2 linked regions of the Caenorhabditis elegans genome follow. The protein of the gene in region 1 purifies or fractionates together with the protein of each later gene. This does not show direct contact. Each region holds a gene or a part of one and is shown in the gene's direction. Other genes may lie near its edges.

What was found.
Region 2: the proteins of F59A3.12 (region 1) and gsnl-1 fractionate together in Caenorhabditis elegans (co-fractionation; one large-scale study listed by BioGRID). This does not show direct contact.

The regions. Positions count from the first base shown.
Region 1 is NC_003279.8:5,512,403-5,516,594, forward strand, and holds F59A3.12 (MIF4G domain-containing protein), read left to right. Parts: upstream 1-2,248; 5' UTR 2,249-2,266; coding exon 2,267-2,310; intron 2,311-2,357; coding exon 2,358-2,502; intron 2,503-2,545; coding exon 2,546-2,697; intron 2,698-2,743; coding exon 2,744-2,852; intron 2,853-2,901; coding exon 2,902-3,134; intron 3,135-3,181; coding exon 3,182-3,245; intron 3,246-3,287; coding exon 3,288-3,425; 3' UTR 3,426-3,623; downstream 3,624-4,192. Other genes in the region: F59A3.2 (SPK domain-containing protein), read left to right, coding at 1-449, 501-842, 887-1,125, 1,174-1,406, 1,463-1,612, 1,659-2,060; F59A3.13 (G_PROTEIN_RECEP_F1_2 domain-containing protein), read left to right, coding at 3,700-3,777, 3,824-3,894.
Region 2 is NC_003283.11:9,495,206-9,500,024, forward strand, and holds gsnl-1 (Gelsolin-like protein 1), read left to right. Parts: upstream 1-1,836; 5' UTR 1,837-1,899; coding exon 1,900-1,974; intron 1,975-2,299; coding exon 2,300-2,374; intron 2,375-2,420; coding exon 2,421-2,522; intron 2,523-2,565; coding exon 2,566-2,763; intron 2,764-2,821; coding exon 2,822-3,135; intron 3,136-3,207; coding exon 3,208-3,289; intron 3,290-3,336; coding exon 3,337-3,453; intron 3,454-3,499; coding exon 3,500-3,625; intron 3,626-3,667; coding exon 3,668-3,961; intron 3,962-4,023; coding exon 4,024-4,068; 3' UTR 4,069-4,171; downstream 4,172-4,819. UniProt on the Caenorhabditis elegans protein: Calcium-regulated, actin-modulating protein that binds to the plus (or barbed) ends of actin monomers or filaments, preventing monomer exchange (end-blocking or capping).

The DNA.
Region 1 (4,192 bases):
ATTCATATTGTGACCAGGCTTAGCAATAGTTCGATCAAAAATCGTCCATTCTACTGTCTTATTCGCGAAATCTTAGAGAAAGTTCATGAAAGAACATTAGAATACAGGGACGTTGACATTCCAAAAATCACACAGCGATCCGATGTCTCAAATAAGCCCCGAGTTGAGAATGTGATGGCCATAACGGAAAAAATGTGTCAAAAAGTGTTCCGATTAAAAAATGAAAATGGATTATCGATTGATTTATACGAAGACGGAATGATTGCGCCACTTCGAAATGTTTTCTTCAAAAAAGTAACTAGAATTCCATATGATTCAAGCACGGAAATTCGAGATCGCCTGTCTACTCTCTGCCAGAAAAGGAATATTTATGTGACAAGAGAAGAATTAGAAGATGGAAGAAATGCGTTCGTACAATATTGTTATAATCTTTCACTAGATTTATTTCTGTAGGTTTATTTCTTCAAATTGATCACACGAAATATATTATTTCATTTCAGACATATCCTTTCAACAAATGTTAATAAATTCACTGGCAGTGTGCAGATTCAGGCCTTTCGAACATCTGAAGTTCACTCAAATCTTCAAATTCACACCGATACGACATGGTTCGGTGGATCGGCTAGGCTGAAGTCAATTACTTCGTCGACATTAGAACGTGGACGTCCGCCTGCTTCATTATGGCTCACAATCCCATGTGAAGAAAAAGAGCATCTTTTGGAGCATGTATTCGAGCATGGTCTCATTCAATTGATGCCAGACGGTGCTAAGACATTTTTTGACGCTTGGATGATTGGGGTTCGGAAAAGAATGAGAAAACGATTGACAAGTGGAGATTTGAGGTATCGTTTCACTCGAATAATCCTTAAAGTGAATAATTTTTCAGACAAGTAGTGGAGACCGTAATGTCAGAAAGTTCATACAACAGAGAAATGACACTCAACGATGATCGAATAGAGCAATTCGTTGTCAAAATGATTGACAATGTGCTTAACACAAAAAAACTTAAAATCTTTGATGGAAAATGGAAGGACTTTACTATTGATCTGATTAAAAATATGAAAGGAAACCCATTCGGAGAATTCCCTGATTGCCAGAAAATTATTGGAGATGTTTGTGAAAAGAGTAAGATTTTATACTTTTGTTTACATTTTAATCACCTTAATTTTTCAGTGAAACCATCATATCTTTCTCAGCTAACTACTCTGTTCTCCAGTTCACCATCCGATCAGTCAATGCTCGCCCACACTCTACTACAACTTCTTCGATTCGTGGTGTGTCTCTCTTTGAACACTATTCGACATGCTTTTCACTTCCATCGTGAAACGTTCACCGTCTCTTTCGACGGACAACTTGATGATGAAGTTACTGATTTTGATGATTTCGATCAGACAATTTTTTGTGAGGTAAACATACCCAATTGTTATTTAAAACCTTTTGTATAAATTATTTAATTTTTCAGTCATCATCTGCCAACTCGTCCTGCTACCCAACACCACCAATTGAACGTCACATTTTGAGACCTCGCGTGACTCTACTACCAACTCCAACTCTTGTTTTTGTTCCAATTTCGCCTGTAAAGAATCTTCCGAGTGATTTTAATCCTCGAATTGTAAGATTGCATGTATCATAAAATATTCTAAAACCATAATTTCCAGCCTCCTCCTCAAATTTACTCGTCACCTGGGCAAGCCTTGTTCAATCCAACAAACCTCTACCCAACTCCACCATCGTCACTACCGAATACATATGTACCGAATCAGGAATCCTTCGATGAGAGCGTGAATCGAGATAAAAAATCATTCATTTTCAACAATCACTCGAAAGCCAACTTCTCAAATCCAACGTTAACGGCAGAAGTGACAGAAGAAGAACTTCTAAGTGCCCGAGCACTCCGAACACCGTCAGTTGTCAGTGGATCAATGCTTAATCAACTGGATGATGAGGATGGGGATTTACCGAAGAAATGGGTCAATGCTTATAAGCTAACGTTGGAATGGAATCAAGATCTGAAGTCTGAACTGGAAAAAGTGAAAAATCGCTTGGATAAACTTTCATGACATAACCTTGTTATTGAATTTGTTTTGTTATTTTCTTTGTTTGTTGTTAAATTGTCTGTTAATATCAGTTCTAGCGTTCATAAATTTTTTGTTTTACGAAGGTATCAATCTGAGTTTGAAAAATGGATTGACTCGATCATTCATTGAAAATATTGTAATCTTATTGAAAAAACCCTAATTTTTCTCAGGTTTTGCAGAAAGAGAAAATGAGTCAAGTTACATCAGAGGATCAAGACGATCTATTCCTAAAGTTTGATTTTTCAAAAGAACAACAAAAGTACGTTTTTAATTATTCAGAGATCTACAAAACGGATGGGAATCGGTTCCCACTGGAAATTCATCTAATAACCATTGTTTTGACAAAATGTACGACTTGTATGGTGTTGGAGGTGTCAAAAACGTGCTTTGTCTTCGACTTTTCGCCTCATCCCTCTATGAAATTGTAAGAAATGCTCAGATATTTTGGAAAGAATATGAAATTTCAGTCCAATGGAAGTAAGGATGCCCAAAAATTGATGATAACTATCTTCGGTGATCGTCTAGTTCAGAAAATCGCCCATTCCGATTTGAAAATTTACGAATCCATCAGAGAGACTGTACAATATATCGCTTGGAAAATCCGAAAATGCCAAATTTTGTAGGCTTCTGAAAAAGTAGCACAATATTTTCAAACTAACTTTCAGAATTTTCCGCCGTACAAGTGAAAACCATGGATGGCAAAGTGTTCGAGACATTCTGATCAAGATTCTTGGTAACGGAGATAGTGCTCGAGATGATTTGATTGCTGGAATGGTAGTTTTTAGAATCTTTTTATTTGTCTTAATTAAAATTTATTTTTCAGTCCTCCATGATTCTTCGCGACATTTATCACTGCCACGTTACGGAAACAAGCTTCTTGGAAGAAGGATCACTTTTATCAAAGAATTGCTTCAAATATGTCTTTCGTGTTGCTTTCCTTCTTTTCAATGACTCAATCGGCGAATATATTCTTGGTCGGAAGGAGAAGTTGTGCTATGAAATGCTCGCTTCTCGATTGGTTTACTTTTATACTCGACTGGCTGCTGACACTTGGAGGTTAGAAATCGATATTCGATTCTAAATTCATACGTTTCCCTTTTCAGAATTCTTGTTGTTCGCAATGGACCGAAAGTAGAGACGGAGTGGTACATGATGCGTGGCGTACAGGTAACTTTATAAAAAATTGCCCATATTCCAAATTATTTCCAGTTGCGAGATGAGATCCCGGCAAGTTCGAATCAAGACTCCAAACTGACCCAGCTCCAAAAAAACAACAACAATGACCCAATCAGTCAACAGAGACCTCAACTCAGCTTTGGAACTCAGAAAACTATTCAAAGAGCCTAACTTTCATTTTATGTATTTGTTTCGTGTGTTCTACTAGTGTTCCTTCTTACATATCAGATGTTGTATTTATAATCTATATCTGCACCATTCTATTTCCTATCCCATTCTACTTGTGTCCTGTTCTCTGGTCTCAAAATGATCACTATGAGATCTCTTTTCCATAAGTGTTAAAAGCGTGCCATAATGAACTGTTTTATTAAATCGACGTGAGAAAAACGCATATGATTTTCATTTAAAAAACATTTTAATAATGTGAAACACATAAACCTGAAGAATGCAAAAGACTAATCGAAAAAATGCGGGATTAGATTTATCAAATGTGTCAGTTCGTGTGTTTGGTCTCAAAGCAAAAGTAGGCTCCAATTTTTAAATTAAATTTATTAACTAAACATATTCAGTATTGGCTCATTTATTTTATTGTCGTTCAACTGGCTCTAGGAATCTCGAATTTATTGTTTCTCATCCTCAGGTAAACATTCGCAAATTCAATACTTCGCTGTTTAATTTCAGCTTTTCCCACTGGTCGATTTTTATTACATGGCCGCAAAAATGGAATAGTAAAATTAAGCCACGGATTTTTTTCTCCGCGGCCATGTAGCAAAAGTCGATCTGTGGAAAAAATTAAAAGGTTGTGAAACTAGTCGTAAAGTGAATTATTGGTTTAGTTGTTCTTTATTTGCATTTATTCAATATATATTTCTCTGACAGTCTCAAAAAGATCTACAAAAGAGCCAGTTTTGTAGGAAATTTAATTTCGATTAATGTCT
Region 2 (4,819 bases), on another chromosome or scaffold:
AGGTGTAGCTATCTGGGATTTGAAGAGGGCGAGAGGCCTTGTTTATGTATTGGTCTTCAAAATTTGTTGCTAAGATTTCAGCTTTTTCAGTGTCTGTATTTGCGGTATGCCCATCTCTGCTAGTCAGAGAGGGAACTGAAACTACTTTTGGCTTTAGACAATTCTTTACGTCGTGTGTGAATTTAGAATTCCCTCTTTGTTCTAGGTTCTTAAGCTCAACATTTCTACGATATTTCAGTAATTTTTTCCTATACCGTTTAGCTGCGGCCACATAAATCAGAAAGTCTTTTGTGTCCCTTGAATTTAAAGCGTTTCTATAAGTAATTTCAACAAAATCTCTCAGTGCATTGAGGTACGGTGGAAGGAATATCTCATCTGCTTTAACAGTTCTTTTCGGGATTGAGAGTTCAAAAGTGCTTTGCATTTCTGCTAAAAACTGATCAAACATGTCATTCACTGAATTGTGAGCACTAAAGAGTTGATTCCAGTTTATATTGTCAATGCACTGAACACATTTGTTCCAATCAATATTTTTGAAATCATAAACTTCCTTGCTGGCGGTGTGTTGCTTCTGTAGGAGATCAATACTAAACTGGAGTCTACGATGGTCACTGTTTCCTAGTGGTGAAAAAATTTTTATTTTTGAAACATTGAGGTTAGAAAAGACCAAATCAAGGATGTTAGATGCTCTGGTGGGGTTGGTTACGAACTGTTTCAATTTTTGGGTTTTGCAGAATTCTATTAACATTGTGCCTAATCGGGTATCAGATTGTGGATCTTGCCCACTCCAATTAATACTGCTAACATTCAAATCTCCTAGTATAACAATTTGACCCGGGTGATCGGTTATGTCTTCGAGCTTATTCAACAAAGTCACAGTATCATGAAAAGATGCGGTTGGAGGCCTATATATGTTTACTATGCGTAGTGGAGTGACATTGACGTTGACATCTAAGACCAATATTTCGAAAGCTTTGCGTTTCGATTCTGCAAGAACCACACTACAGCTTATACTATTTTTTACTAGAGTACATACTCCGCCGCCCCTTTGTTCATCTGGACGATCTGCACGGTAAACCTGGTAGTTTTTATTATTGAAAATAGAGTTTTGCGTTTTACTTGTAAGCCATGTTTCTTGCAAGCAGACTAAGTCATGTTCATTTGTGGTCAATTCCCCCATTAGTTCTAATCGATTAGCATTAACAGATCTTATATTGGCACATAGTACATTTAATTTGAGGCCTGGGATTGGGGAACAATTTAATTTTGAGAATAAAAAACCTTTAGAATACACGCTCAGTTTTTTGGGACGTTCTTAGCGGGCTGCATAATAGAGACTCGAGGTGGTTGGTTCTGCGTGGAGTTATGTGAAGGATTTTTGTTTACACGTGAACTATTGTTGGTGTGCATGGCGGTGGGTTGGGAATTGGTGGGTTGGAGTGATGTGGATTGACGGAATTTGATGCGGTTTTCTCTAAATTAAAAACAAAGTGTGACATTCAAGCATTGATTGAAGAAAAGCTGGATGTTCTGGTGACTTAAACATTTTCAATGGTTATTCTGGTTTGCTCATGGTCAAACTTCATAATAAATTCAAATCTTCTCAAACTTTGATCGCTCTATGTTCATGTGAACCTTTGGATTGCACAGCTTCATTTAATGATCTGAACAATCTAAATCCAAAACAGACAAACAAGAAAGTTAATCGTCAGTCTCCCGCCCATTCACATTGTAAAATGCTCAAAGTAATTGGTGAGAGAGCAATTGAATTATTAGAGACACAGACAACACACGTTTTTTACACTTTCTGACGGGTCCATAGGATGCGGAAGGGTCGTTTTCTCTGCTCATTTCATTGCTTGTTGATTCTGGTGGTCAACAAAAAAGTTCTAAACTACAATGGGAGGAACATCCTTGGATCCAGCATTGGCCGAGATTGGAAAGAAGAACGGGCTTCTTGTTTGGAGAATTAATGTACGTTTTGTAGTCAATGGAGTAACATTTACAGTGTCAAATCTAGTCTGAACTACGGTACAGTCACAATTATTTCCTAATATTTTAAGTGAAATATTCTGAAATATATTACAAATGTTGTGTGTTCAAAATTAGTTGTCATTGGAAGTGGTCTATAGTTTTAAAATCTTGCACTGTCATCAACAAACTAATATCTTACTCATCCTACGTTTAAACCCTTGAACTTTGAAATGTGTCATATCAAGTTGTTTGTGTCAAAAATATTCCCCAATATCTTCTTTATCCTCCCCACGTATCTATCAGTTCCAATGTTTCGCAATTTCAGAAATTTGTGTTGGAGCCGGTCCCCGAGGTTGATCATGGTGTGTTTTACATTGGAGACGCCTACATTGCACTCTACGTATGTTTTCCTATAGAACAGAATATATGAAAAGAGATGGTTACAGCAAAAGTACGATGGATGTTGGGATGTTCATTTCTGGCTTGGAAAGAATGCATCGACTGATGAAATTGGAGTTGCAGCAATCAAGACTGTAGAGATTGACGATGTAAGAAATGCTTCTAGAAAGTTTTAAAATTTGATTGTTTCAGTCTCTCGGTGGAATTCCAACCCAACATCGTGAAATTCAAAACTACGAATCTCCTCTCTTCTTGTCCTATTTCCCTGACGGAATTCGTTATGTATCTGGTGGTTATGAATCTGGATACCGTCATGTAGACGATCAGTTCAAAAACTGGAAACCTCATTTGTTCCATTGTAAGGGAAAACGAAATGTGAGATGCACGGAGGTAAGGAAAAATAAATAGAAGATAAGAGACATTGAAAGCACACAGAATACAATTCTAGGTGGAATGTGAAGTGAATTCTCTTAATTTGGGAGATGTATTCATTTTGGATCTGGGAAAGGATCTTTATGTTTGGATGCCACCAGAGAGTGGAAGACTTGAAAGAATCAAGGGAATGGCTCGTGCCAAGAATATTGCTGATCATGAAAGAATGGGAATCCCGAAAGTTCATATTCTTGATGATGTTGAATGGGATAATGATTCAACATTCTGGAGTTATTTTGGTGGGGTTTCGTCCGTTAGGAAGGTGTCAAAGGGAAAAGATGACGATGATAACTACTGGAAAAGACTTACGGAGCAAATTACACTTTGGAAGTAAGACAATTTTGAAATTTGACTGGAATTTAAGGGAATTTATTTAACCTATTGAAAATTGATTTATTTCAGAGTTTCCGACGCATCTGGTGCTGCTAAAGTTAGCATGGTTTCTCAAGGCGAAAATATTCGAAAAGAGCAACTTGATCCCAAGGTGAGTTGCCGAATCAGTTTAATTGAAACAATTTTATTTTAATTCAGGATGCCTTCATTCTTGATGCAATTAATGGTGGAATCTTCGTCTGGATTGGACATGAATGTACTCTTGAAGAAAGATCGAAGGCTCTTATTTGGGGGCAGAACTATTTGAAACAGCATGTATGATAATTATTTTATTTCGAAAATAATTCCTTTCACATTTCAGCATCTTCCCCGCTGGACACAAGTTACTAGAGTTCTCGAATCAGCTGAATCTACTCAATTCACCCAATGGTTCCGTGATTGGGTTGATGAGAAAAAGAAGAACACATTCACTCCACTCCTTTTCCAAGTTGGTTTGATGCAATGAGCAATTTTCAGATTGAAGTTTCAGGTTTCCGATGAAAGCGGTCTTCTTCATGTTGAGGAAATTGCAAACTTCACTCAAGAAGATCTTGATGGAGATGATGTCATGATCTTGGATGCTTTGAATTCCATCTACGTTTGGGTTGGAGCAAATGCTAATGCAAATGAGAAGAAAGAAGCATTAAACACTGCAAAGTTGTACTTGGAAAAAGATAAGTTGCCACGTCACAAGAAAACAGCTATTGACACGATCTTCCAAGGAAAAGAACCACCAACTTTCAAGAAATTCTTCCCATCCTGGGACGATAATTTGTTCAAGAATGTAAGTAATTAAATACTCTTATGAAAACAAAAAATATCATGAGCTAACATATTGTATTTCAGGAAGTTCGATCCGTGCAGAACATGCGTCGCCTTCTCTTCCACTAATTAAACTTTTTTAATTTTAATTTTTCATTGTATCTTATAATGTTTCTACATTTCTAATGTAATTTAAAATGACTCATTGAAATAATAAACACTGCCTGATCATAACTTTTTACAAAATAAGTGAAGGGGTACATCAGAAGATCGTAGCTAATAGATCTTTATCAGCTCCTCGGTCTGCCCCACAACCATCGTATTTCGTCGTTTTCTTCTGAGAAAAAGTGAAAACGTGTCATTTTTATGTATCGTTTTCATTCAGAGCTTCCACTCTTCCTTTTCTACATCATCGACCTTGAAATCCTGTGAAAGAACTGTTCAGAACACACTGCTGGGTCTCCATGGCTACACTGATTTCAATCTGAATCTGATATGTCTTGTGAACATTTACACAAACATATGTTGGACGAAGAAAAATAAACTGCTGAAAGAATTAAGAAGGAAGCTATATACAGAGAAATCGAAACGTGCGAAGCGTGAATATTTTCCCGAGACGGAACAATATGAAAATCGGAAAAGTGTCGGGCATTTGCAATACAAGGCTGAGGGGGAGAACGTGAAAAATCTCTGAACGCATTGTTCCCTATAGAAGAATTATTCTCAATTTCATGCAAATATGTCATTGTGTTTTCTTGATTTAACTTTTTTAATTTTATTTTTATCGTCCTATACCGTGATTCAGCCTTTCAGACAATCCTCTCCTTCACTAACTCTTGGGAAAAAGAATTGTTCTGATTCTAATATTATTTCAAATAAA